4 linked regions of the Pelodiscus sinensis genome follow. The protein of the gene in region 2 interacts with the protein of the main gene of each other region in a pairwise test. Links are inferred from orthologs where the notes say so. Each region holds a gene or a part of one and is shown on either strand. Other genes may lie near its edges.

The links.
Region 1: the proteins of SDCBP (region 2) and ZCCHC17 interact in binary tests that used the Homo sapiens proteins (3 or more experiments, as listed by UniProt). The two-hybrid records come from large-scale screens. The link is inferred for Pelodiscus sinensis from reciprocal best matches to the Homo sapiens genes SDCBP and ZCCHC17.
Region 3: the proteins of SDCBP (region 2) and PYCR3 interact in binary tests that used the Homo sapiens proteins (3 or more experiments, as listed by UniProt). The two-hybrid records come from large-scale screens. The link is inferred for Pelodiscus sinensis from reciprocal best matches to the Homo sapiens genes SDCBP and PYCR3.
Region 4: the proteins of SDCBP (region 2) and EIF5A2 interact in binary tests that used the Homo sapiens proteins (3 or more experiments, as listed by UniProt). The two-hybrid records come from large-scale screens. The link is inferred for Pelodiscus sinensis from reciprocal best matches to the Homo sapiens genes SDCBP and EIF5A2.

Annotation. Positions count from the first base shown.
Region 1 is NC_134735.1:17,394,970-17,402,270, reverse strand, and holds the start of ZCCHC17 (zinc finger CCHC domain-containing protein 17), read right to left. Parts: upstream 3,013-7,301; 5' UTR 2,873-3,012; intron 2,861-2,872; exon of another isoform or gene 2,762-2,860; intron 2,298-2,761; exon of another isoform or gene 2,022-2,297; intron 476-2,021; 5' UTR 362-475; coding exon 296-361; intron 1-295. Other genes in the region: SNRNP40 (U5 small nuclear ribonucleoprotein 40 kDa protein), read left to right, coding at 3,069-3,203, 3,660-3,789, 5,397-5,490, 6,370-6,535.
Region 2 is NC_134712.1:63,002,396-63,010,021, forward strand, and holds the start of SDCBP (syntenin-1), read right to left. Parts: upstream 3,006-7,626; 5' UTR 2,746-3,005; intron 1-2,745. UniProt on the Homo sapiens protein: Multifunctional adapter protein involved in diverse array of functions including trafficking of transmembrane proteins, neuro and immunomodulation, exosome biogenesis, and tumorigenesis.
Region 3 is NC_134712.1:2,161,544-2,168,689, forward strand, and holds the start of PYCR3 (pyrroline-5-carboxylate reductase 3), read left to right. Parts: upstream 1-4,144; 5' UTR 4,145-4,196; coding exon 4,197-4,281; intron 4,282-6,169; coding exon 6,170-6,234; intron 6,235-7,146. Other genes in the region: protein brambleberry-like, read right to left, coding at 1-17, 1,114-1,362.
Region 4 is NC_134720.1:39,206,347-39,213,206, forward strand, and holds the start of EIF5A2 (eukaryotic translation initiation factor 5A-2), read right to left. Parts: upstream 3,002-6,860; 5' UTR 2,869-3,001; coding exon 2,843-2,868; intron 2,729-2,842; exon of another isoform or gene 2,571-2,728; intron 2,128-2,570; coding exon 1,938-2,127; intron 1-1,937. UniProt on the Homo sapiens protein: Translation factor that promotes translation elongation and termination, particularly upon ribosome stalling at specific amino acid sequence contexts.

The sequences.
Region 1 (7,301 bases), on a different chromosome or scaffold from region 2:
TTTCTCTCTCTCTAACCTACATATTCTTTAAACGCTCTACCGAGAATGCCAACAGGAGGTCAGTGTGAGACAGCTGTGACAGTAGTGGGTTTTGTGATGTGGACATTTGCTCTCTATGAACCAGAGTACACAACACAAGCTCATTTTACATTGGTCACTTAGTTTTACTGCCTGTATCTAGGGTTGATTCTGAACTGAAGATTTAAAAATGAAAGGCTCTCTATTATCTCTCAGTATCTTGCACCATTCATGTCTCCCACGCTTCTTTTGTGACCCTAAGCAACACCACACATACCTCTCCTTGGAAGACATCATAGAGTTCAGGTAAAGTCTCCATTGCCTCAGGTCTCACAGACTTCATTTGGGAAGTTTTCTAAGAGTATGCATTCCACAATTCTTTCCCAACCTTTATAGCTTACTTTGTTTCCATGTATTAGATGTCCCATTTATTGCTGTGGAGCAACCCTATTCGTAGCTGAAATAAAGAAAGACACCATTTATTGAAAGAAATATCTTCATTAGTGATAAAAGAAATAAACTCTGGGAAAACTTTTCAGGGATGGTTTTTATCTGCACTGCTTTCACTCTCACTAATTTCTAAATATCTGATACCATAGGGTAAGTCTACACAGATGTGTTATTTCAGAATAAGTGATGTTATTTTGAAATAACCAAATACGCTTCTACACAGCAAGACATTATTTCGAAATAATAGCGAGCTGGAAGACTTCTCACTCTGACTCCTGTAACCCTCATTTCACAAGGGCTGTGTCTACACTGGCACCCTTTTCCGTAAAGGGGATGCTAATGAGACTCTTTGGAATTGCAAATGCCGCAGGGGATTTAAATATCCCCCATGGCATTTGCATGAACATGGTTGCCGCTTTTTTCCGGCTCGGGGTTTTGCCGGAGAAAAGCGCCAGTCTAGACGGGATCTTGCGGAAAATAAACCCTTTTCCGCAAGATCCTGTCTAGACTGGCGCTTTTCTCCAGCAAAACCCCGAGCCGGAAAAAAGCGGCAGCCATGTTCATGCAAATGCCGTGGGGGATATTTAAATCCCCTGTGGCATTTGCAACTCCGAAGTGTCTCATTAGCATCCCTTTTACGGAAAAGGGTGCCAGTGTAGACACAGCCAAGGAGTAAAGGAAGTCAAAAGAAGAGAGTTCTTCCTTCGTCTACCTGCTGTGTAGACAGCGCCAAGAGACGAATTAAGCTATTTTGACTAGGGATGTAAGCGACTGACTACCTGATAAGCAAAAGCTTATCGGATAGTCAACACATTAGTCAACTAGTCACTCCTCCTCCCTCTCCCTCTCCCCTCGCTGCCGCTATCACAAAGAGGCAACAAAGGGTTGAAGAGGAAGGGCGCTGGGGGGAGCCAGCTTAAAAGTCAGTTCCCCCCAGCTCCAGCTCCATGGGATGGGGCGGGGCACAGCAGCAGTAGTGCTTTCTTTTTTAAATGTTCAAGAGTTCCAGTAGGGGCTCTTGTGGATTTCAGAGACTGAAATGCTGCATAGAGCCTGGGGTGGACTCCGAGTCCCCCACTGACCTTAGGCTCCATGAGATGCTTCCTCTTTACAATGCCCAAGAGCCCCCACTGGTGCTCTTGTACATTTCAAAGGTGGAATGTGCACTAGTCCTTATCAATTAAATCCCATCAACTATTCAATCAGTTAATCAATATTTAACATCCCTAATTTCAACTTCAGCTACACAATTGACATAGCTGAAGCTGCGTGGCTTAATTCGACTTTTGTGTAGATGTGTCCATAGTGTCTTGTGCTCACACTATACGTTATGGCAGTGTAATCAAGTGGATAGAGAACAAGTTGAGGAAACAGACAATCCGAGTTCTTCAATGATACAGTTCCCAATAACTTTCAGTACAATTATGAGCAAGTTACTAAACTTTATGCCTCAGTTTCTCCCTGGATAAAAGGGTGCTATGATATATTTCAAAGAGCTTTCTGCAGTAGGGTATGTCAGAAGAGTACCTCAAAAACACTAAGTATTCAAGTACCTAGGCAGATACAGCAAAATATGAACACGTGACTATAAACTGGCTCTGGATAATAACTAGCCAATTTTGCCCTATTCTCAGAATTCAGCCTCACAGACACTTCATTCCTATTTCACAGGGGTAGCCGATGGCCTCAGAGGGGTAGCTGCGTTAGCCTGTAACTTTAAACACAGTCAGTAACCCTAGTCTGTATTTGGGAAAATGAAGAGTCCTGTGGCCCCTTGTAGACTCCACGCAGCTGACCAAGTGGTTTTTACTCAGGAGAGGTTACGCCAAAATAAATCGGTGACTCTAACAGGAGTGTGGAACTTTGGGGGGGGGGTGGCGGCCACGGACCCACAGGAAAGAGTCAGTCGGGAGCCGCACAGAGATGAGCGGCCCCAAACCCAACAACCCCTCACTGCTGGGCTCCCCACATCCCCCTCGCGCACCAGAGCCGGGGGGGGGGGGGGCAGGTTGTGTACCCGTGGGAGGGGCCGGGGGGGGCCGCTCTAGGCTCCCCGCCCCGCTCTGCGAGGGGCCACCGGGCTCCCGGCCGGCTCTCCCGCCGCTGCCCCGGGCGGTTGGAACCCGCTCGCGCCGGGACACAGGCCTGACGCCAGCGGGCGCGCAAAGGGCCCGGCCTGCGCCTGGACGCGACGCTCAGCGGCTCCCGCGGGCAGAAGCAGCGAGCCCGGACCGCGAGCGGGGCCTGCCGAGCGCGGGAAGGGGAAGGGGCTGAGGCCGCGCCGCCCCCTCACCCGCTCAAGGGCGCCGCGGCCGCCGTCATCCCACCTGCACCCCGGTCCCTTCGAGCTGAGGAAGCTTGCGCCCGCCAATCACGGCACGGCATACTCGCGCGGGGTACTTACGGAGCCAATGGGCGCGCCCGATGCTAGAACTCTCCGGCGAATCCCCTAGCCAGCATGGCCAGCGCTGCCCAATCAGCACGCTTGGCGTTCGCAGCCAATCAGAGCGCGGCATCGCGGCCCAATGGGGGCCGGGCGCGGGCGGAGCGAGGCCTAGCGCTGCAGGACGCCCGAGGCCGAGCGGCTGCCGCGGGCCGGGATGATCGAGCCGCAGAAGCGCAAGGGGCCGGTCCCGGAGCTGGCGCTGGTGGCGGCCGCGGCCAAGCGGCCCCGGCATGAGCTGCTGGGGCCCGGCCCGGGCGGGGCGCCGCCCCCGGGGGCCCTGCTGCAGGCGGTGAGCGCGGGGGGCCCGGGATGGGCCGGGCCGCGTCCCCCGCGGGCGGTGACCCCGAGGCTCCCCGGAGGGGCGGGGGCCGGGCCGGGGGGGGCCGCTCAACTCCTGTCGCAACGTGGCTCCGCCTCTTTGGGTCGTTCGTAGCCTCCGCGCTGAACTGACACCGGCCTTGGTGTGACTCGAGACCAGGCCTCTTGCTGCGCGGGGCCTCCGCCTCCCCATCGGAGGTGGGGCCCGTGGCGGGCGGGGTGTGAGACGCGCTTTGCCATTATTATTATTTTGTGTGTGTCAGAAAAGTGGAAATATGACCCGAGTTAAAACTAGTGAAGGAGTTATGGGAGGGGGGGTGTTTTCTGGCCTGCTCCCCCACACCGTCCACCTTCTGGTTCAGAGGTTTCATTAGCTCATTATTTATTATTCTGTTTCATTTCTGTCTGCATTCCCTCTGTGTTTTAGGGCCCTCCACGCTGTTCTTCCCTCCAGGCACCTATAATGCTGCTCTCGGGGCATGAAGGAGAAGTTTACTGTTGCAAGTTTCACCCTAATGGAGCAACTTTAGCATCTGCAGGATTTGACAGACTGATCTGTGAGTTTGTAATGATCAGTAGTTTGTGCTATGAGGGTGGTTTGTTTAAAAAATAATAATAATAATAATACACTGCTGGTGTAAACTGCTTTCCATTCATTCAAGTGCAATGGAGTGACTGAGCTGCTGAGAGCAATGGGGTGAAATGTTGACAGCAGGCCAGTAATGAGCTGTGCGCTTTTGAGCATATTTCAAAAGCGTTGGTAACCTCTTTAATGCCCTAAATCAGCAGTTCCCAACTGCTAGTCCGTGGACCCCTGCTTACCCTGCCAGGCCATGCCCCCAGCTCTGCTTTCTCACAACACTGTACTGTGGGATACATACTCACAGTGCTTTGCTCACACTGTCAATGACAGTGCCCTCAGCGTGAACATGCTCTGTCAGCAGAGGGAGCAAGTGTGAACACCCTCTAGGCAATTTTTGTTTTTATCAATTTTTGGGTGTTGATATACATTTTGTTAACAAAACTTGGTAATGTAGACATACCCTAACTCTTGTAAGAAGCCACATAGTATTGTTACAGTTAGAGCTCTGCAAATCCATGGATATCTGCTTTATATCCCCTGGTATCCACATCCACAGATGTGGATGCAGATATCTGTGACTCATTTTTATGAACGCAGATATACATTTTGGATTCCTGTTTGTATGAATATGGATTTAACTGCAACACTGTAGTTATGGGTTGCACAGCCATACAGGACTATAAAGGGATGAGAAATCCTTCTCCATAAGGACAGCTTGATGTGGGACTCCTTTCATATCCCATCTAATCTGTCAGCTCTCTACATTTAAGAAGGATACAAAATGAAGGGTATAGAAGAGTTAAAACAGATGTTTCTATTTATGCTTATTCATAATACAGGAGCAAAGATGACATTCAGGTTTGTTGAAAGGAAATACTTTTCTACACAATGGATCATTAACCTCTGGGACTCACTGCAACAACATGCTGTTCAACCTAAGAATGTACTAGGGCAGGGATTGTCAACCTTTCAGATGTGACATGCCAAGATTTAATTTATTCACTTCTATTTATGGATCTGTGTGCCACTGATACTTTTTGAAGTCAATAATAGTCCTATTTACATTTTAGCGGCTTCATTAATAAATAAATTAAGATGCAGATTTTTCTGTTTAGTGTGATCCTTGGTCTTGCTTTCCCTTGCTGAGTTCTCCTATTTCAGGCCCTATAGCAATCAGTTAGCCAGTAACTCTCACATTTAGGATTAAAATCCTACTGCTCATATGACTCGGGTTGTGGAACACATTATTAACCAACCGCCTCTGTCTGTTGATGGGGCGCTCAGAGAAGCGAAGTTCCCTGCACTTTGTCAGGGATGGTGCAGCAGCTGGCCTGGCAAGTGGCAGCTGAGGAACAAGTTAATAAGGGTGGCGGCCATGGGGAGACATGGGCCTCCCTACCCTTCCCCCAGATGAGGAGAACTTTCACATCTTCTGTTCCACATATTTAAAAACCTATTTAAAATGAGAGTTTGGCGATTATGCTGAATATTGTAAGTGCTTCATTTTAGTGAGCCCAGGAAGTGTAGCTGTGATGATGTGGGCGTAGAACATAGTTTTATGTGTATTTGGTTTCTTTCCAGTGCTATGGAATGTGTATGGGGACTGTGATAATTATGCCACTCTGAAGGGACACAGTGGAGCAGTTATGGAGTTGCACTATAATACTGATGGCAGGTAAATATCAGATGAAACTGACTTGAGCTGTCATTAGCCTACCTTGATGATGTTTCCAAATGAACTCTGTGAAATGTTTGGGGAGAGAGTTGGTATGAAAAGCTGCTAGATGAAGCCAGTAACCTTTGGATAAAACTTGTAAAAGGTACCTGCAACTGGCAAGTGGGGAACTAGCTGCTGGTGAATGTAAGTTGCTTTACAGCTCCTCTTCATTGCTTCAGTGCTCACCTGGTGGCTCTGAAGAGAAAAAGCAATGGTGCTCTTTGAATGGCTCCCCCTCCCAGAAATAGCTCCACACGCTACGTCTGTTGTAGAGTGCAGGAGCAAAGAGTAGAACCTAAGTGGCAAGTTCCAAGGCTCATGGATGGGAAGCAGATCTAAAGCCAGGCGTCCCGTCCCATCCCGCCCCTAGCAAGTGAATCTGTGGGAAAGTGGATGGGAGAGACAACGAAGGAACAATTCAGGATAAGAAAAGGAAAACTAGGAAGGCGATGTTGGCAGCTTTCCAGATTATCCAATGCTATCTGAGGTTTTTACAAAAGAGATGGCTCCCCCTCCCCCATCATCCTGAGCAGGGTCAAGAAGATGAAATCCTACAGGCAGCTAGCAGACACCCCCTTCAGTAACTGGATTGAGGGGTACATTGAAAGTGGGATTTTTCATCATTATACTACCCCTTCCTTGGTCCTGCCACAAAACCCCACGCCATCTTTTGGCAACAGCCTCTGAATATTGACCTTAATTTTCTAGCTAGCAAGTATCCCCTTAATTTTCCAAGCCGGAGTCTGAGTGGTGTTTGTAGAGTAACAAAAGGGATTGGGGCAGATATTTTATCACCCTTCAGGATTCCATAGCTGTGTCACCTTTTCCCTCCGCCAGCATGCTCTTCTCAGCATCCACGGACAAAACGGTGGCGGTGTGGGACAGTGAGACTGGAGAGAGAGTGAAAAGGTTGAAGGGGCACACGTCATTTGTTAATTCCTGTTATCCTGCGAGGCGGGGACCCCAGCTTGTCTGTACCGGCAGCGATGATGGGACAGTAAAGGTCAGTGTTTTTGTGTGGAGTGACTCTTGCACTCATGGAGACTATACAAACTCTAGATGGCCCACCTAAATAAAGGTCATTTATTGTCATTGACCATTTAAAAATAACTAATTTAATAAACGTGAGAACGGCCATACTGGGTCAGACCAAAGATCCATCTAGTCCAGTATCCTGCCTGCCAACAGTGGCCAATGCCAGATGCCCCAAAGGGAGGGATCACAACAGGAAATCCCCATGTGATCCTCCCCTGTCACCCATTTCCAGAGAAACAGGCTAGGGACATCATTCCTACCCATCCTGGCTAATAGCCATTGATGGACCATGAATCTATTTTGCTCTTTTTTGAACCCTGTAAAAGTTCTAGCCTTCACTGCATCCTCTGGCAAGGAGTTCCACAGGTTGAGTAAAACTTGAGTAAAACTTTGTTCATTTGATACCCTCTTCGTCATCCAGATTTGCCCCTGAATCAAATCCCAGCCTGAGTCGCTTATTCATTAACTTCCTCAGTTATCCTTGAAATATTTTGGCTAAACAGGACTAGATACTTAAAAATAAAATTAGAATCCTGGAAAAGAACATGAGACTAAGCCTGGAAAATGGCTGGCTCCTTTTGTGAATCAAGGCTGGGATTTTTAATGAGATTTTTCTTGGATCGGAGCTGAGTGCTTCCAGTTCTGCCCTTATTTATGCTCCTGTAAATTCACTGGCTGAAAAAAATCAGCATTTAAATGATAAATGCTGTTCTCTTTCTCCCTGTCCCAAACCC
Region 2 (7,626 bases):
CCACATGGCACTGCCGCTTTGAAACGCCACATGCAGCCTGAGGCTAGCTGTGGAGTCTCCAGCTGGCCCAAGACTGCACACGGCGTTTCAAAGAGGCAGACCCTGGGCTCCACACAGTGCTGCTGCTTCAAAGTGCCCGCTCTTCCTCTCCCCCACCCCCTTGCTGCCTCTTTCTGCAAGGCAGGGGGGAAGCGACTAGTGTGTGACTATCCGATAAGCATTTGCGACTAGTCGTTCACATCCCTACCTTGGGGGTAGGAGACTTAGGTATAGGGCAGTCTCAGATGGGGGGGGGTACCCCCAGGCAGCCACTTTCACCTGCCTGATGATTATGCCTCTTTTCTGTATGATTTTATGCATCCCCATATGCATCGAGTGGGGGAGGAGTGTGTATAGCTGTTTAAGATTAACCGATAATTCTGTAAAATCGTTACTCATACAGGGAATCCTTTAGACTTCTGCTTGCACCAAGTAAGCTGAGATTCTCTATTGGCTTTCTTGTAATTTTTTTGGGCAATGTTATCTCATCACAAATAGGAAGGGAAGTAGTCTCTGCAATCACAAAGGGATGGGAGAATGGCCTGCGAGGCATGCTACTAGAATGAGCATGAAAGGATTTGAGAGCCTCTTATTTATAATGTAATCAGACTTTTGACAAACATTTGAACGATAAGTTAAAACATAATTTAACTGCAACCACAACATGAGTAATCATTGAATGGCACTGTCCAAGCTTCTAAAGAAAATTCTACAAAGAAATGCCATCCTTAGTAATGTTGGTTATTCTAACGGACTGAAACCTGCATTTATTTAAAGAAAAGTCATGTATGCAGCTGCAATTTGTCATAAAATGGTCAGAGTTATACAAATATTAAAAGCAACCAAGATGAAAAAACTTGAGAAAACTCTACACTGCAATTAGCTATTCACTACACTGTGTAACAGCAGACAACTTTTACCTCAGACTTCATAGCTTGCAGCTAGTTTGTTGATTAATAAGTTAAAATGAAAGTATGGACAGAAATCACTACCCTATTTATAAGTGCTACTTAAAATCAGAGAAAAACTGAGCAAGAAAAGGATTCTGACTTCCCACATAATCGCTTGACTTGATTTCTGTACAGAGATGACTCAGTCCATTTTTGTTTATGGAATCTTGCCTGCTGGTAAGTGTTGAAAAAACTAAAAAAGGAGGATTGGGAAAGTGACTCAAAGACAGGAAAGAAAATGGCAACTGAGCTAGACTACTTTAAAAAAGCTTTTCATTAAAACAAGCCCAAAACCTGATCTGCAGAGTACTATGAGGATATATTTTATTGATTCACCTCTAATATCTGTCCACTGCCAACAATAGACCAAGGACAACCAGCTACTTATCACCTAGTTCACTGATTCCACCAAAGCCATCATAAGGTGTTTACTATTCCCTAGAGATCAAATGCTTATGCTTATCAGATAGGAGTGGACTAGTCAATTCCCCTCACCTTTGCTGTCTCTATCAGAGGGAGCAAAGGGGGGAGAGAGAGGGAAACCAGGCCTTAGGTTCCCCACCCTCTGTTCTACAGTGTTCAACTTATCCATACATTAGAACTCTAAATCTCAAAGGCTATGTCTACACTCATGGCTTCTTGTGCGAATAATATGCAAATGAGACTAAGCATGGAATATCGCCGAGCCTCATTTGCATACCTAATGAGCCACCATTTTTTTCAGAAGAGGCTCTTGCGCAAGAAGGACCGTCTACACTGCCCCTTCTTGTGCAAGAAAAACCCTCTTGCGCAATGCCGTTCTTCCTGAAAAGTAATAGGTGTAATGGCATTGCGCAAGAGGGTTTTTCTTGCACAAGAAGGGGCAGCCTAGACGCTCCTTCTTCCGCAAGAGCCTCTTCTGAAAAAATGGTGGCTCATTAGATATGCAAATGAGGCTCGGCGATATTCCACGATTCGCCTCATTTGCATATTACTCACCCAAGAAGCCATGTGTAGACATAGCCAAATAGTTTAACTCAACAACTGCTACAGTAAGAAGCCAAGATACAGTAGTGTTTCAGTCTCAGGACTTGTCTGAACAGTGAACATCCTAGCGATAAAGATCTGTGTTACTAATTGGAGAAGTAAAAGTGATTTAGTTTGCAAAAACTAAGAGCATTAACTAAGCACAAAAGACTGAACTGGACACTGAATAGTTTGTACAGTGCCACTGCTTGCTACGACTCTCCCCCCCTTAGATAAGCATACCAGACCTATGCCAGTGACGCTGAGCGTTTCAAGGGGAGATAAAAGGTTACCATAGTAGAGACAAAAGAAAAAAAAAATCACCAGAGAGCCCATCGGCCCAGACCCCCAAGCCAGAGCTGTCTTATTTCGGGCGGGGGGGGGCAACGTGGGAGATTAGCAGGATTTCCCGTCGCGGTGTCTCCAGGGTGCCCAGGACGGGGGCTGGCCGCCTTGCAAGGGGCAGGATCAGGAGTTTCAGTAACGAGCAAGGACACGCCCCGTTCCCTCGCCCGTCCCGGTGGGTGCGCGCAGCGACCCTCTGGCCTTTACTCCTGGCCCCCCTCCCCGTGCCTGGCTGATGCACACACCGCGCAGCCGCAGGTACCGTTCGGGCCGGGCCGGGCGCGCTCGTACCCGGAGGGGCCCAGACAGGGCAGCTCCGGGCGGGGCGGCTGCGGTGAGCGAGCCGGGGGGTGATACCGCCCCGAGTGAAACTGGGGGGGGGAGCGCTACCCGCCCTGACACTCACCGGCCGGGCCGAGGCGGCGGCAGCTGCTAGTCTCACACCGCTATCGGCGGCTCCTGGGGACGCGGCTCTGCGAAGGGAGCGACGACGGAGGCTGCGGTACACAACGGCTCAGCGCGGGCTGTGCGCATGCGCCGGTCCCGTGACACTATGCAGGAGCGGGGGCAAGGAGCCTCTCGGCAGCTAGGAGAGGCTCCTGTTCCCAGTCCGGCCCCGCCCTCCCTGAGCGTCTGCTGCGGGGGGAAGCGAGCTGAGAGAAGGGACCTGCCCTGCCCGCAGGGTTGCGTTGCTTCCCCCCCCACGCCGTGACTGGCCTCCTGAGGGGCTGGCTCGGCTGCGCGAGACCCCACTTCCCTCACAGCGCGGGGGCGGGGGGAGGCTGTGCCCGGGCCCCCGGTTGCCAGGTGCGTTAGTAGCCTTTGGCTTGACGTGGTTTCTGTCACTGACTTACAGGACGTGCGGTTTTCGGTGCTGGCGCTCGGCCCCCACCCAGCCAGGCGCGTACATCGGTACCTCCCCCCCCCCCCCCGCGGGGTTAGCGAACTGGGGTTCAGACAGCGCAGCCAGAGCACTGCCCCGAGTCGCGCCCTTCTACTCTCGTAGCCCTGAGGTACGGGTTTGGCCCGGGGCTGACGAGGACGCGTGTGACAGTTGTGACTGCTGCGAGGGAGGCTTTCTCCATAGCCGGAATTATGGGATAATCTCAAGTGAGGAGCCAAAAGCGAAAACTACAGCTTGTCCCATGTCAGGGTCTGAATGCTCTGTAGCACCCACCCTAGCCCTATTTCTATTCCTGTTCACTCTCGATGGAATAGATGGGCGGAGTCTTCAGTCTTCCATCATGTATTTGCCTCCTTTATTCCTGCTTTTATCTTCTCCGTTCAGTGCCTGGGTGGCCATGAGTCAGTGTTTCTGTGTCCATATCGGTTTTTTAAGTATACGCTGTTAAATGGTTTACATCACTTACTGTGTTCCGGTTGTGTTGTGGTTTCACTTCCTTAGAGGAGGGACTTCATTTGCTGTTTTGGCTGCTGTGTTGTAGACAGTTTCTGTTGCGCATCTGGCCTTCACCTCCGCATCATCATTGGATGAAATCATTTGTGGATTTAATTTTTTAGTCTCAGAAACACTCTTGTCACTTTGAATGTAGATTGCAAGGTCTTTGAGAGTGGGACCTTTTTTGTTCAGTATCTAATTCAGAGTTATAATAATAAAAGCTAATGATTCTCTTACTACTTTTCTACCTTTGAGTGGTTGTGACTATTTTCTTCCACTATTTGATCTGAGGAAGTGGGTCTGGCCCACGAAAGCTTATAATCTAATAAACCAGCTTGTTAGTTTTTAAAGTGCTACATAGTCCTGTATTTTGTTTCAGCTACACCAGACTAACACGACTACAGTTAGGACATGGAATGAAAGGTCCAGAACCAGTTAAGTAAACCAGGCTTAGCACAAGAAGGAGGCAAGCTGCAACTGATTAGGCTTCCACATTGTAATGAGCTCAGTGCTGGCCATCCCTTCCACCTACACCGATTCAGTACAGTATTATTACACACTTATATAAAATACATTATATTGTAGGTTGAAATTTGTATGATTTATGTGTCATTTTGAATACACTGTATTATGCTTCACAAAACAAAGGTAAGACACATTTTTTAGCCTACGCCCAATTAGAGATGTTAAATTAGATTACTTAATTAATCAAATTGTTGAGGGGATTTCCATCAACTATTCGATTAGTTGATAAGGGCACCTCCGCCTTTGAACTATAGCAAGAGCCTTACTGATGGATAGCACTATTCAGTATTTTCATTATTGACTTGGACAAGGGGTGGGCAAATTCTGGCCCATAGGCTGGATCCGGTCCTCAGGGTTAGTCCCTAGCAGGCCCCCATCTCCAAGTTTACCTGAGCCTCCACAGGTATCGGAGGATTGCAGCTCTTGTTGGCTGCGAATTGCCGTTCATGGCCAATGCAAGCAGCGGGAAGTGGTGTCCTGGTCTGCAATGCTTCCTGCTGCTCACATTGGCAATGAACAGTGATTTGCAGCCAACTTGAACTGCGATCCTCTGATACCTGTGGCCAGCGCGAGCCATTTTGGCGTCCCATGCACTTGGCGCTGCCCCTGGGATGCATGGCCCCACCTTCGGACGCATGGCACATGTGCGGGCCCATCCCCGGGACATGCGGCCCAGCCTCCGGGCACATGACGTATGCGCGGGCCCACCCCCGGGGCACGTGGGCAGACACACAGCGCATGCGCTGCCCAGTCGGCCTAACCACCGCCAATGGCACACAGCCCGGGGCCGCCAATCAAATCAATATCTCAGATGCCTGTATACACATGCAAGGAGTATCGGAAATAAGCAGGAAGATCTTGAAGTGCTAATAAACAGACATAGTTGGTATCACAGAGACTTGGTGGGATAATACACACAATTGGAATACTGGTATAGAAGGGTACAGCTTGCTCAGGAAGGATAGGCACGGGAAAAAAAGGAGGTGTTGCCTTATATATTAAAAATGTACACAGTTGGACTGAGGTGGAGATGGTCATAGAAGACAGGCATGGTGGCTGTGTCTAGACTGGCAAGTTTTTCCGCAAAAGCCGGTGCTTTTGCGGAAAAACTTGCCAACTGTCTACACTGGCCGCTTGAATTTCTGCAAGAACACTGACTTCCTACTGTCTGAATTCAGTGCTTCTTGCAAAAATACTATGCTGCTCCCATTCGGGCAAAAGTCCAGCTCAGATTTGTTTTGCACAAAAAAGCCCCGATCACGAAAATGGCGATTGGGGCTTTTTTGCGCAAAAGCATGTCTAGATTGGCACAGACGCTTTTTGGCAAAAAGTGCTTTTGCGGAAAAGCGTCCGTGCCAATCTAGACGCTCTTTTGCGCAAATGCTTTTAACGGAAAACTTTTCCATTAAAAACATTTGTGGAAAATCATGACAGTCTAGACATAGCCGGTGAGTCTCTGGGTTAGGTTATAAGGAGTAAAAAGGGTTAGTGTCATACTAAGGATCTACTAGAGATCACCTACCCGGGCAGAGGAGGTGGTTACGGCCTTTCTTAAACAACTAACAAAATCATCCAAAGCACAGGATTTGGTGGTGATGGGGGTCCTCAACTATCCAGACATATGTTGCAAAACTAACACAGCACAGATTATCCAATAAATTCTTGGTAAGAAGGTTGAAAAAGCTACTGGGGGAAAGCTGTTCTAGATTTGATTTTATCAAATAGGGAGGAACTGGTTGAAAATTTTAAAGTTGAAGGCAGCTTGGGTGAAAGTGACAATAAAATCATAGAATTAATGATTCCAAGGAATGGTAGAAGGGAGAACAGCAAAAAAGAGGCAATGGATTTCAGGAAGGCAGATTTTAGTAAACTCAGAGAGCTGGTAGGTAAGGTCCTATGGGAAACAAGACTAAGAGGAAAAACAACTGAAGAGAGTTGGCAGTTTTTCAAAGAGACATTATTAACGGCCCAAAAGCAAACTATTTCACTGCGCGGGAAAGATAGAAAGTATGGTAAGAGACCACTTTGGCTTAACCAGGTGATCTTACATGTTCTAAAAATCAAAAAGGAGTCATATAAAAAGTGGAAACTAGGACAAATGACAAAGGATGAATATAAGCAAACGATGCAAGTATGAAGGGGCAAGATTAGAAAGGCAAAGGCACAAAATGTGCTCAATCTAGCTAGAGACATAAAGGGTAACAAGTAGACATTCTACAAAAATATTAGAAGCAAGAGGAAGACCAATGACTGGGTAGGTCCATTGCTCAGTGAAGAGGGAGAAACAATAACAAGAAACTTGGAAATGGCAGAGATGCTTAATGCCTTTTTTGTTTTGGTTTTTGTCAAGAAGATGGATGGTGATTGGATGCCTCACACAGTGAGTGCTAGTGGAAGTAGGGTAGGTTTAGAAATTAAAATAAAAAAAGAACAAGTTAAAAGTACATAGAAAAATTAGATGTCTTCAAGTCACCAGGGCCTGCTGAAATGCTTCTTAGAATTCTCAAGGAGCTGGTAGAGGAGTTATCTGAGCCTTTAGCTATCATCTTTGAAAAATCATGGAAGACAGGAGAGTTTCCAGAAGACTGAAAAAGGGCAAATATAGTGCCCATCTATAAAAAGGGAAATAAGAACAACCCAGGGAACTACAGACCTGTCAGCTTAACTTCTGTACCAGGGAAGACAATGAAGCAAGTAATTAAGGAATTCATCTTCAAACAACTGGAAGACAATCAGGTGATAGGTAACTGTAAAGAACAAATCATGTTAAACCAATCTGATAGCTTTCTTTGATAGGATAACAAGTCTTGTGGATAAGGGAGAAGCGGTGGGCATAGTATACCTAGACTTTAGTAAAGCATTTGACACGGTCTCGCATGATCTTCTGATCAATAAACTAAGGAAATACAAACTAGATGGGGCTACAATAAGGTGGGTGCATAACTGGCTGGATAACCATTCTCAGAGAGTAGTTATTAATGGTTCACAATCATATGAAAGGGCATAACAAGTAAGGCTCCACGGGGGTCTGTTTTGGGACCGGTTCTGTTCAATATCTTCATCAATGATTTAGATGATAGCATAGCGAGTACAGTACAATTATTAAGTTTGCAGATGATACCAAGCTGGGAGGGGCTGCAAGTGCTTTGGAGGATACGGTCATCATTCAAAATGATCTGGGCAAACTAGAGAAATGGTCTGAGGTAAATAGGATGAAGTTTAATAAGGACAAATACTCCACTTAGGAAAGAACAATCAGTTTCACACATACAGAATGGGAAGTGATTGCCTACTAAGGATTACTGCAGAAAGGGATGTAGCAGTCACGGTGCTAAATATGACCACAAGCTAAATATGAGTCAA
Region 3 (7,146 bases), about 61 Mb from region 2:
TGGATCCGGGCTATAACCTGCCAGCAGAGGAGACGGAGGAGCATTAGGGCTACAGCTGGTGCTTCCATCTCCCGCCCCCCAAGTGCAAAAGACAATGGCTCCTTCCCAGGTCCCATGGATCCCTGCCCCAGACTTGCTCACGACAGGAGAACCATTAACGCTGGGCAGCGACTCATGGGGAGCTCAGTTCCTGGGGCCACAGACGAGGGGGGTTCACTTCCCGCCTGCTTGCTGCCCTGCCTGGGATTAGCTGGGCAGCACCCAGAAGCAGGCAGGGCAAGGGAGACTATCCCAGCCCTGGGCCCTCCCCCTCACAGCCCCCTGCCCTGTCAAAGGGGAGTCAAGCCAGCTGGGGCCCTTCTGCCTCGGCTCCCCTGGAGCCATCATCCCAATGCCTGTCCCCTGCGCTCTTCCCCCTCCCCGAGAGCAGCTCTTTTGCCTCCCACCGACCGGGCTGGCTGCCCCTACCCACTTCGAGCTGCAGTGCAAAAATGGGCAGAGCCGAGATGCCGGGGCAAGGCAGCCAAGCCGCCTGCACCATGTGTCCAGCTGGTTCCATCGACAGGGGCTCTGGTGCTGCTCCTAATATGCACAAGAAACGGGGCTCGTATCCCCACAGGCCTCCCGGCAGGGATGTGCATGTACCGCGCGCAGAGGCTGCGCGGACCAGCTCCGGGGCTGGGGAGCGCCCCAGGGGTAGGAGGAAGCCTGGGAGGTTTGTTGGCAAAGCGGACAGACATGGTGACCTTCAAGGCCCACCCCCAGGACCCTCTTTGCAGGAAAGGAGCCAGCTAACGAGGGGCGGGGCAGCTACGGAAGACTCCAGCTGACACCAATGCAATTGGTGGCCACAGGGACCCAGCAGGGCCTGCAGCCAGTCACCGGTCTGACCAGGCCGCATGGTTGCCCCCTGTCCCCGCTGTGCCGTACGACCGGATCATGCCAACGTCTCTGCAGAGGGAGCGGCCCCATGGCAGGTCAGCACGTGCGCCAGCACTTGCCGGAGCGGGGCCTTGGATGGCACACACTTTGGGGCACGGCCCCCTCCCTCCTCCTGGTCTGTCCAGCCCAACCCACGGAGAGCCCTCCCGCGGCAAAGAGCCACAGCGACACCTGATGGTGACAGGAGTCCAGCGGCGACAGATCCAGGCGCCTGGCTTCAGCCAGGAATCGCTCGTCCCCGGTCGTCATCTCAAAAGGAGCAGGGGGGAGTCTCCTCGGGTCCGAAGCAGGTGTCGGGGGAACAGGGTCCTTTTCTGGAGCGGCGCCCTGCCTCAGCCAGCCAAAAAATCCAGAGGAGGGAATGACGAGGAGGGAGAGGAGGGTAGGAAGGAGGAGAACCCGGTGAGCCAGGGGCAGCATCTTGGGGCATGGAGAGGGATCCTGCAGGGAGAGAAGAGACAGAGTCCCAACGGAGAAGAGCCCAGGGAGTTCCAGCTACTGGGCAGCAGCGTTACAGCCAACCCCCTGCGCCCCGCACCGCTCCCTGACCTCCGATAGCTCAGCCTGGCTCTGTTAATATAGCAGGTCCCCCTGCCTAGGCGGGTCGGCACAGAACAGCTCTAATGAGCACCGTATTGAGCTGAGAGCGTGGCCCAACCAGGAGCAGGCTAACCCCTTCCAACTGGAAGAAGTGAGTGAATAGCACCAGCCTGACGTGATAACAGCTGTGCCGAGATCACGGCCTGCCACACCGATCCCACCGTCTCGCTGTTGCCTGGTACTCCCTGTGTGCGCCCACCTGTGACCTCATCGCATGCTTGGATCAGAAGCTCATTGGGAAAGGGATGGTCTTTTTCTTCTGTGTTTGGGCAGCGCCTAACAACGCCACACCTGCTATGTCTACACTGGCGGCTTCTCGTGCAAGATCACGTCCACACTGCCATGTACGAGCTGTGCTTTTGTGCAAGAGCGCCCATGGCAGTGCGGACGCTCTCTTGCACAAGAAAGTTCTGATGGCCATTTTAGCCATAGGGCTTCCTTGCGCAAGAAATCCCTGCCCAGCATCCACACTGCCTTCTTGTGCAAGAGCCCCTGCACAAGGGCTTACACCTGTTAAAAAAAGAGCGTAGCTCTTGTGCAAGACGCCCTCTCTTACCACGCCGTACTGTAAATGTCCTTGCACAAGAGCGGGCGGGCAGTGTGGACGCTCTGCGGATTCTTGCGCAAGAACGGCTGTACTTGTGCAAGAAGCCACAAGCGGAGACACAGCCCTCGGGTGCTACAATAATACAAACACCGCTGATGTTTGTGTGAAGGGCTCATGAGTCCTCCTGGGTTTCCTCCGGCATCTCTGAGAGGAAGGAATGATCCGATTGCTAGAACACACCCAGAGGGCACAGGCCTCATGGAAACTTACAAAGTTCCACTTGGATGCATGCTGGACTGATCAGTCTCCATGGGCCACACATGAGCATGCAGCTGCCTTGTGTCTCCGGTGTACAGAACCAGAAGCTGCTGTGGCCCTCCACAAGGTAACATTAAGGCACATTCTCTAGATTTTTCTGCAGCTGGTTTTAAGCAGGGAGCCAGGCTGCAAGGGTAGGAGCCTGGAGTGGTTAGGGCCAGTGCTGTTGCATACATACCTGTCACTGCAGCTTGCATTTCACCCCTTGGACCGTAACAAAACACTTAAAGAGGAAAAGCCCCCCAGGAGCAATTGAGTTAGGCTTCCGGGTCAGGTCCTGTTCCCCAACCAAGACAGGAGAAAAGGTCTCCTCCTTCATCCACTGTCGGGCTCAATTAATTCCCTTAGGCTGCATCTAGACTGGCAAGTTTTTCCGCAGAAGCAGTTGCTTTTGCGGAAAAACTTGCCAGCTGTCTACACTGGCCACTTGAATTTCCGCAAGAACACTGACGATCTCATGTAAGATTGTCAGTGTTCTTGCGGAAATGCTATGCTGCTCCCGTTCGGGAAAAAGCCCTCTTGCGCAAATGGACCAGTGTAGACAACGCAGTATTGTTTTGCGCAAAAAAGCCCTGATGGCGAAAATGGCGATTGGGGCTTTCTTGCGCAAAACCGTGTCTAGATTGGCACGGACACTTTTCCGCAAAAACTGTCAGATCCTTTCTATCCGAGGGCAGCACACTTCCGGGGGTAGCGCCATGCATTCAAACGTTGCTCCTGACTTTGGCCATCATGAAGCCAGACAAGAGAGTCTTATCAGAGAAGCCTTTCCCCTCTCTGAGTAGGGAACAGCCACAGAAAGGGATGTGAGGAATGGATCAGACCAGCCAACACGCAAGTTCAACCACATGAAATGAATGTGTCTGTGGAAAGCATTTTCCAAACCCCAATCTCTGTTGGTTTTGCTGCCTTTCAGGCCAGAAGGTGCCACGTCAGCACGTTGTACATTGTAGCTCAAAGGCCCTTCCATCTGACGCTTTGCGGTCAGATTTGTTCATACAACCCATGCACCATGGGGAAGACCATTCATGTTTCCCAGAAAGGGAAACTGAGGCCACAGACTGTGACGGACCTCAGAACAAAACCCAGGTGTTCCTGGCTTGAGCCACCAGATATTGGGGGGTGGGGGTGTCTCTGGGGCCTTTGAACAGCCGTGCCACGGCCCCTCACAAGAAAAACAAATCTGGTTGTGGAACAGAGCTGATCTTTGGATGCAGAAGCAGACACACCAGGTCCTACCTGGGGGGGTGCAGGGTCTGGGGGCGCCCTAGGGGCCTGAATTCACATGCCCACCGCAGAAGGCCCAAGCCCTGACCCTGACCCTGCTCCGCCCCCAGCAACCGGCCCAGGAGATGGGGGGGGGATAGAGGGGGCAGCTTGAGTGACAGCTCGCCTGGGGCCCATACACAGCCCAGCTGCGGACACAGCTGGCAGCAGGGCGGGGGGAGCTGTGTGTGGGCGCTGCTGATCCCAGATGACTAGGGGGGGGGGGAGCAGCCAGATGCAGCGCTGCCAGCCTGGAGCATCCCTGCGCTGCGAAGGCAAGAGGAGAACGGAGACCACGCCCCCACCAGGACCCCACGTGGGGCGGTCACTCACCTGACTCCGCCCCTGGGGAGAAGCGCCTCGTTCCCCCGGGCGCTTATGAATCCGGCGCCCGATGACGTCGCACGCGGCGGCAGCCAATCCGGAGGTGAAGGCGGGGTGAGGCCGAGCGGAGCCCGCGACGCTGGGGGCGGGTCCGGCGGTAGCCACGTGGTGGGCGGGTCACGTGGGAGAGCCGGCTGGGATGGAGGCGCGCGGGGAGCTGCGGATCGGGTTCGTGGGCGCCGGGCACATGGCCCAAGGGGTGGCGCAGGGCGCGGTGCGCGCAGGTAGGCGCGGGGTTTGGGAGAGCCCCGCCCCCCTCCTCTCCCCTCCCCCCCCACCCCACCTGCTGGGGGTCCCTGGGTAACCAGCCCCCCCTTCCCGAGGGGAGCCCCAGCAGAGGGTGCCTGGGTAACTAGACCCCCCCCATCCCAGCTGGGAGCCCTCGCCGGGGGCCCTGGGTAACTAGACCCCCCCCCATCCCAGCTGGGAGCCCTCGCCGGGGGCCCTGGGTAACTAGACCCCCCCCCCCCATCCCAGCTGGGAGCCCTCGCCGGGGGCCCTGGGTAACTAGACCCCCCCCCCCCATCCCAGCTGGGAGCCCTCGCCGGGGGCCCTGGGTAACTAGACCCCCCCCCCCCATCCCAGCTGGGAGCCCTCGCCGGGGGCCTGGGTAACTAGACCCCCCCCCCATCCCAGCTGGGAGCCCTCGCCGGGGGCCCTGGGTAACTAGACCCCCCCGTCCCAGCTGGGAGCCCTCGCCGGGGGCCCTGGGTAACTAGACCCCCCCCCCCCATCCCAGCTGGGAGCCCTCGCCGGGGGCCCTGGGTAACTAGACCCCCCCCCCCCATCCCAGCTGGGAGCCCTCGCCGGGGGCCCTGGGTAACTAGACCCCCCCCATCCCAGCTGGGAGCCCTCGCCGGGGCCCTGGGTAACTAGACCCCCCCCCCCATCCCAGCTGGGAGCCCTCGCCCGGGGGCCCTGGGTAACTAGACCCCCCCCCCCCATCCCAGCTGGGAGCCCTCGCCGGGGGCCCTGGGTAACTAGACCCCCCCCCCCATCCCAGCTGGGAGCCCTCGCCGGGGGCCCTGGGTAACTAGACCCCCCCCATCCCAGCTGGGAGCCCTCGCCGGGGGCCCTGGGTAACTAGACCCCCCCCCATCCCAGCTGGGAGCCCTCGCCGGGGGCCCTGGGTAACTAGACCCCCCCCCCCCCATCCCAGCTGGGAGCCCTCGCCGGGGGCCCTGGGTAACTAGACCCCCCCATCCCAGCTGGGAGCCCTCGCCGGGGGCCCTGGGTAACTAGACCCCCTCCCCCCATCCCAGCTGGGAGCCCTCGCCGGGGGCCCTCACACCAGAACCACCCCCCACCCTGCTGGATAAGCGAGTTCCCATGCTACAGGCCCCCCCTTCCCCTCCATGGGGGTCCCTCTGCAAGCAGCACCTGCCCCAACACAAGGGCCCCCCCCCCAACTCGTGCCGTGCTGCTGTGTAACCCTGTGTCTCACCCCGCAGAAGACATCCCAGTTCTGGGCAATGGATCCCTGTAGAACCAGCCCCCTGCATCCCACCCCACGGGACAGCTGCAGCTGGGTGCTTGGTGAACGAGCCCCTAGAAATAGCTGCTGTGCCCAGCAGTGGAGGCGCCTGCGGTCCCGAGCCCTGTCCCAGTTATGGCTCCTAGGGGCTGAGGGATCTCTGTAAGGCCCTTGCCATGCTCCCATCCCAGAAGCGGCTGCGGGTCCTTGCTGTGCGATAAGTCGTTGGCTCTCTGCTCAGGCCCAGTTAATCAATGACTCTGGGATCCTAGGGCGGGGAGGCCACAGAGAGCTGTCTGGCTGTTCCCACGATACCTGCCGCACAGGTGTGCGTTTTACCAAGGCCATTCCAGGCCTGCTGCCACCACTGCCCTCCTGTGGCAAAAGGAAGTTCCCTGCAATCGCCTGGCATCGCTGCCCGCAGCGCGCATAGCCCGTGTGCCCTGGTTAGCTGCCTGCCTCTCCGCCCTTCCGCGGCCGTTAGGAATCTCACGCTGGCTGGTGGGCAGCTAACGCTGGGCACGAACAGGCTTGGAATTGGGCCTTGGTACGAGTCTCTAGTCTGAGCATGTTTGAGGCATCGCAGGATTCTCTCCATGCCCCTTAAGCAGCGGCTTACCTCTGCTCTGTGTTTTCAGGAAAAGTCAAAGCTGCCAACGTCCTGGCCAGCGCGCCGTCCGACAGGAACTTGGGGGCCTTCAAGGTGAGCGAGGGCAGGGCATTGCAGGCTGCCCGGGAAAGGTCAGGCCTCTTCCTGAGGACTGGAAGAGCTAATAGCATCCTGGTGTCCAGAAACGGGAGGCAAAGGCGATAACGATGCTCGAGTCCACTTGCTTGTGATCCCAGCAGATGTGCAAGCTATTGAGTTCCTCTCCGGAACACCTGGGTGCCCTGGGAAATGGGGCTGGTGAGCTATGGTGGCTTTTCCCTTTCTCTCACTGCTCATCCTCAGTCCAGGTCCACACTGGCGTAACACATGTAGCTGGAGTCTGCTTACCTTCAGCCGAGCTTAGTGCCAGTCCCCGTCGTCTTCCCTCGCGACTGCGAGTATCAGGGCTGACTAGGGATGTGAACAGCTCGCTGACTAGTCACTTCTCCCTCCCTTTCTGAAAGAGGCAGCAAGGTGGGGGAAGAGAAAAGTGCTTCAAAGTGGCAGCGCCACGTGGAGCCTGGAGCTGCTGCTTTGAAACGCCACATGCAGAGTCAGCAGGGGAGGGGGGGGCTCCACTTGAAATGCCATGGGGCCAGTGGGGACTGCTTGACTGGGCTCGTGATCCCTGTAGCGCTTTCGCCTTTGAAATGTAGCAACTGCCCTGGGGTTGTTGCTACACTTCAAAGGCGGAAGCGCCCTTATCGAGTAGTCCAGGGGTTCTCAAACTTTGTAATACTGCAACCCCCTAAAATTCTACATGAATTTGTGTGACCCCCACCCCATGAATAAAGGGGGATTTGGGGGCAGCGGGGCTGGCCGGGGGAGATCGGGCAGGGAAACCGGCCAGCGGGAAGCAGGGGTGGCGGGGGGAGGAAGGGAGAGGTTGGGTACATTGGGGCTGGCCGGGGAAGATCAGGAGGAGAAGTGGGGGAGAACCAGTCGGCTGGGAGGGGGCAGGGAGAG
Region 4 (6,860 bases), on a different chromosome or scaffold from region 2:
AATTTCTTCAATGCCCACCAGCAGCTAAGATGCCCTGAAGAAATTATCAAAAAAGTGACAAAAAATAAAGGCAGGTATGTCCACACTACAGTGGCACAGCTGTCACATATACCACATGCTTCCTGAAACAGAAGAGATTTCCCATTAATACAAGTAATACAACACAGCCCTGGAAGACATAGCAAGGTCAACCCACTCACCACATGTAGACCAGGCCTGTAATCAGACCCTCAGCTTTTTAAAGCAGATGTGTAATCTTTTGGATCAGGGGCTCCTGACCCACAGAAAAAAAAAAATCAGTCAGGGGCTGCACACATGACTATGTACGAGATACAAATTGTATCTAGTACACGATTAGTTAGTCGTTAAGGGGCTACTGCAGCTCTCCAGTTTAAAGGTAGTAGGAACCGGGTCCTGTGCTGCAGTTCTGCCTTTTAAATGTATTAAGAGCCAGGTGGCTCTTATTACATTCAAAAGGCAGAGCCACAGAGCCTGTCCTCCCCACCCCGAACACAGACTGTGCTGGGGAGCTCCCTTGCTGCCTCTATTAGGCAGCAAAAAAAAAAAAAAAAAGGGGGGGGGGGGGGAGAGAAGAGAAACTCAAGTAGTCAACTCAACTACCCAATAAGCTTAGGCTTATTGGGTAATCAACTACTCTATATCCCTATCACACACCAGAGCCTAGTGGGCCCTACCTAGTACATTTATGTGCTCCAGCCTCATGGTCTCCCCAATTCAGGGAGATAGGGGGAGCCCTCAGCCTCAGGGGATAAAGTCAGACAAGCCCTGGGGCCCTCAGTTCCCCACCCCATCTTAAAGCAGTAAGTGTGCACCTCCATAAATTCATGGATTTCCTTATTGCTCCCATTCCTGACTATAGGTCTTTTTTGCATCTGTAGTCAATTGCTGATAGCTTCAATTGCTTAGTAGACAGACATACATAGGCTTGTACAACTAAGGTATGAAACTATACTGAAGACTTAAAATACTCAACTAGCATGTTGTAATTGCCAGTTAGCTTTCAAACACAGAACATCAAGTTGATGTGGATGCTCCTGACCACTATTCTAGGTGACATACTTGGCTGTTAGCTAGAAATAGAGGAATCTAATGAAGCCATACTAAGGACTAGTGCAAAATATGTCTTAGGCAAGCCATTTACATAATCCCCTCCCCCCCCACCTCTGAGCCCTTCTTCCACACAGCACCTTAATTCTAGACCCTTGTCTAAACTGCCACTTGGAAAGACCCAAAACCTATTTAATATATCAGGGACACCTTCAGTTGTCTCCCATAGGCTGTCAACAAGTACTAGTTGACATTTTCCAAATATTTATTTAGGAAAAATCTGGTCCAGGAGTGGGGACTGAATGTGCCCTTCTTCCCCCTACCACTCCTGTGGGGCTAAAGCACAGAATCTCCAAGCCTGGCCCCCCTCATGTTAGAGAAGGTGTGGGGTTTTTTGGGGGGAGGGGGGGCACACTTCTCATGTGTGCTCCTCACTGATTTTTCTGTGGGTCAGTGGTCCTCAATGCAAAACAGATTCCCTCCAGGTCTAGTCTGTAATCCAGCTATGTTCTCAGAGCGCTTCCACAAAGTTCATAAAGCGTGGTCAGCCCCATGTAAGTTTCAAGATTCCCCAGGCAATATGCACGTGTGCTTTTGCATATTACTCCAACTGTTCACCCTTTTGCTGTAAAACTGAAATTAAGTAGTTCAGAAAATTCACCCTGAAGCACCGGCACACTGGTATTATGTACATAATAATGCCATAACTGGAAGAACCAGAAATGTATCCAAGGACTTTGACACGTGATTTGTGTGCTCGCGCTCTCCGTGTAGCTGTAGATATAAAAGAGGTTATTTGTATAAAAATAAGTGTACAAAGGAGTTTTTCCAAGCCCAACAGGAAAGGGCTGAGAGTGAGTCTTGTTTACCTTGGCATGACCATGCTTTCCAGTCTTAGAGGTCGACATCTCCACAATTTTGCAAGGACGTCCCTTGAGCACGACGAAGCCATTCTTGCGCAGCGCAGAGCACTGCATGGGGTAGGTGGAAGAAGCACCCGCATCTCCAGTGGTGAAGTCGATGTCGTCGGCCATAGCGGGCTGGGTCTGGGAGGGGTTACTAGAGAACAAGGAGAAGAGGCAGCTTTTCCCAGCAGGCTGGGCACACGTGGGGGGGGGGGGGGGGGGGGGAGGGAGGAGTCCCAGCAGCTGCCCAGCCATGAAGCAGCCGCGGAACACGGGCCAGAGGGACTTTGCCCCACGCGGAGCGGCCCAGGCAGCCGCACTGCCCCGAGGCCCACAAGGGGGAACCGGGGCAAAGGCTGCCGGAGCCGCACGTGCTTCTGGGCAGCCCCACAGCAGCCCGCATGGGAGGCCCCGAGGACACCCGGCCCTGCCCACGTGCCAGCGGGGCCGCCGCTGCAGAGTCCCCGCCCGGCTGCGCGAAGAGCCTCCCTCCCCCCCCCCCGCGGGAGCCCGGCTCAGGGGGCGGCTCGACCCCGCGCGGCCGCCAGCTACCGCCGCGGCTGGGAGCGGCGCGCGCGCGCCACGTCCGGCTCTTACCCGCTGCTGGGAGAAAGGAGCGTCGCTGGCAGTGCACACGCGCCCGGCCTCTGGCACTGCGGCAGCACCAGCCGGGGGGGAGGAGAGAGAGAGAGAGAGCAGAGGCTCACGCGCACTTCTACCCCGCACCCCCCACTTCCGCTTTGTACCCGCGGGCGCAGCTCTCATTGGCGGCCGGGACGCCAGGTTAGGCGGGGCTCTGTGGGCCCCCGCCCCTTCCATGTGACTTGGCGCGCGGAAACTTCCAGGTCACCCGCGCGCCCCGCCCCTACCGAGCCAATTCGCCGCCGCTCAGCATTGGTTGGCGTCTGAACACGTGGTGCGGAACGGTCGCTTTATTGCCCTCGATCTGCGCCTCCACTACATGCCGTGAGGCAACAGCACTTCCGCTTAGGGTCTCGCTGCCACCGGAAATAGATGTTCCCCACAGGCACGTGGGCTGAGCTACGCCTCGCCTACTATGGAAAGCGACTTGGGTCACAATTACACCCCCGCGCCCGCCACAGCGTGTCACGTGACGCTGGCGGCCATTACTCCTGAGGCAACCTGAAAGGGGGCTGGTGTAGGGGTTGCCTGCTGCAGGTCGGCCCCCGAGCCCACCCGTGGACGCAGTGTCCCCAGGCGAGGCCCCTGAACCCCTAGTGGGGCCCTTCCTTCAGCTCTTCTGCTCGCGGTGCATCCTGCTCCTTCCCGCTCCTCTGGCTGCAAGGGACAGGCCTCCTGCGCTGCCACAGCCGCCCCCCACCCCCATCCCCTGGCACTGGGCGTCTCGAACTGGTTTCAGTTCTGTGCAGGATTTGCAGCTTGGTTCAGTGGCTCTTACCCCCCCACACACACACACACTTGGGGTGTAGAAAAATTCAGAAAATACCAGACACGTGCAATGCCTGGTATTTCCTAAATTTCCGTCTGGGCACCGGACTGAAGCCTGGCAGGGGCAGGGGCAGGGGCAGGGGCAGGGGAGCGACTGGGAGGTGGGGTGCGATTGGTGCTGGGAGCCCTGTGGTTGCGTGCAAAAGCCAGGCGGGGAGGGGTGGGGACAGTGGCTGGCACTCCCAGCCCGCCCTCCCCCCGCCCGCCCGCCCGGCTTCTGCACACAACCAGAGGCTCCCTGTGCCGATTTTGGCCCCACCTCCTAGCTGGGAGCCTCTGGTTGTGTGCAGAAGCTGGGCAGAGAGAGGGGCTCCCGGCCACTCCCCTGCTCCCACCTGGCCTCTGCCAGCAACTAGAGGGAGTGCCTGCTGGAGGTGCGGCCTGTTGGACTCTGGCTGTGGCCAGTGGCTGCACCCGCCCCCTCCCCCCTGCCAGCCCTGCCTCCTGCATCCCTCCCGGCCGGTCCCCCACCCCCATCCACGATCAAGTGTGTCCGGTATTTTTGGGGAGCCTACCAGGTAACCCTTCCCACACACACACTATAAAAACTGTTCCAGCACCACTGCTTCCAGGGATTGCATGTACTACAGGGCTGTGGCATGTAGCGCTGCCAACGTATTTAAAAAATAAGGAACTATTTTCTTAGCAGCCCTGTGTCACTTGTCTCTGCAATATTATCATTGTTAGTGTTAATGTTAATAACAAACAGTACTTACCTGCATTCACCAGGGCTACATCTAGACTGGCATGATTTTCCGCAAATGCTTTTAACGGAAAAGTTTTCTGTTAAAAGCATTTGCGGAAAAGAGCGTCTAGATTGACTCAGACGCTTTTCTGCAAAAAAGCCCCGATCGCCGTTTTCGCAATCGGGGCTTTTATGCGCAAAACAAATCTTAGTCCTTTGCGCAAAAGGACTTTTGCCCGAACGGGAGCAACATAGTATTTCCGCAAGAAGCACTGATTTCAGACAGTAGGAAGTCAGTGTTCTTGCAGAAATTAAAGCGGCCAGTGTAGACACAGCCCAGGGGTATTTCTTGCTCCATTTGGCAGCACTCAGCAACTCATGATCTTGTACAGAGATGAAAAAATAAGGGAATTTACTTGTAATAAAGGACTGTTGGCACCCATAGGCTACGTCTAGACTGGTATGATTTTCCGGAAATGCTTTTAGCGGAAAAGTTTTCTGTTAAAAGCATTTTCAGAAAAGAGCATCTAGATTGGCAGGATGCTTTTCCGCAAAAGCACTTTTTGCGGAAAAGCGTCCGTGGCCAATCTAGATGCGCTTTTCCGCAAAAAAAGCCCCGATCGCCATTTTCGCGATCAGGGCTTTTTTGCGGAAAACAAATCTCTGCTGTCTACACTGGCCCTTTTGCGCAAAAGTTTTTCAGAAAAGACTTTTGCCGGAATGGGAGCTGCATAGTATTTCCGCAAAAACACTGACAATCTTACATGAGATCGTCAGTGCTTTTGCGGAAATTCAAGCGGCCAGTGTAGACAGCTGGCAAGTTTTTCCGCAAAAGCACCTGCTTTTGCGGAAAAACTTGCCAGTCTAGACACAGCCTCACTGTTGCTGCATTTCACAGTTGAGTAGCCAAATCTACAGAGCTCAGAAGCAGCTATTATTGTTCACCTATCATAGAAAGAAGATGGGCCAGAGCTGACTGGGCTGACTTTACCATGCTGCTTTTCAGATAACTGGGCCAAAGCACATGCTTGTCCAGCTCCCACTAACGCTATGTGGATCTTTGTCTTTTTCTAGTGGTAAGACTGTAATACAGAGAGTTACGAATTTGTTACCACCATTCTAATGCAGTCAATTTCAAACTTTTTTTCTCATGACCCAGTTCAAGAAAATTGTTGATGCCCACAACCTATCATAATTCTATCTTTTGACTAGAGTTCAGGTTCTAAGGTGGAGCTGGAGATGGGAGGTTTGGAGTGTATAAGGAGGCTCCAGGTGGGGAAGGAATGAGGGCAGGGAACTGGGGCATGGGCTTACCTCCGGTGACTCCTGGTCAGCAGCACAGTAGGGGTGCTAAGGCAGGCTCCATCCCTGTCCTGGCACTATGGACACAGAAGCAGCCAGCAACCAGTCTGTCTCGTAGGTGGAGGTGCGCAAGTGACTGTGGCTGTGGGTGCTGCTCTCACCTGCTGGCACCGCTCCCCCAGCTCCCATTAGGCAGGACAGGCAGGAAGCCTGCCTTAGCACCCCTGCTGGTGACCTGGTTATCCTACAGCAAGGTGACCCAGCACCTGATATTCCACAACCCAATACAGGAGGAGGAAATTTTGTATGCTCCCTCATCCCCAGACCAATCGGAGAGCATGCAAAGTCTTTTGCCCCTTGCCCTGTCAGGGGCACATGATGCCTAGAGGAACCACCAGCCATTTTGAGAAGCTGGCAAATCCCACCAACCGCTTTGAACAGCGAATGACTTTGTGCATTCCCCCATTCCTGGGTCTCAATTGGCCTGGAGACGGGGGCATGGGAGGGCAGGCTGTGGGCCAGATCAAATGCCTTGGTGGGCAGGATTTGGCCTGCGGGCCGTATCTTCCCCATCCCTGACACAGACATTTCTTACTACAACAAAAGGGTTCTTTTTCTTCAGTTTATGTAATCTATCTCTCAGAGTGGAAGAGAAATTGAAAGAAGAATTATTTTTTCATTGAGGTAAGGACATATGTTAGCTTAACTGCAGTGTTTAGTGGTGTGAATTTTTCACAGCTACTGAACAACGGAGCTACATGACTATAAATTTTTAAGTGTAGACCAGATCTTAGCTATCTTGGTCTAGCCTAAGTGCTTGTCTAAATGGTTAATTTACCAGCATAACTGTTCTGATAGAATTATACTGCTCTGGTTATGCTTCTACATTTTCCCATGTAGATAAGCCCTTACTTGACAGGGTATGACCACAGCAGTTGAGTTCCACATCATGGATGTCATGCCCCTTGTCAACACTGTTGCTGTATCTAATTATGAGAGATATAAAGATTTCTTGGTGTGTCCCATATTCCATGTGCAATTCCATCCTTGTGCTATCAGGTATCGATCAACTAGAACTGACAGGTGCTGATTTTTATAGAGACAATGTTTCTCTGGTACGCAACTGCCTGACCTGCTACCAGTAGGAGATGTCCATGTTTCAAGGGTGGCTTTTTGCCCAGATAAAATAGTGGCAATTTGCTATTACAAGCAGAAGGAGTAAAAGCCAGCATCTTGTGGATGTGGAGACTTGGACTACGTTTACACTACGGGTTCTTCCGGGATACCAGGGAACGTCCAGAGAATGCATCTGCTCTTCCGCTTTTATTTGTGGAAGAGCAGACACGCTCTTTCGGAAGTCCTGTCTTACTCATTTCATGAGGAATAAGGGCTCTTCTGAAGAAGGAGGTTTTTCCAACATTTGGCCCAGT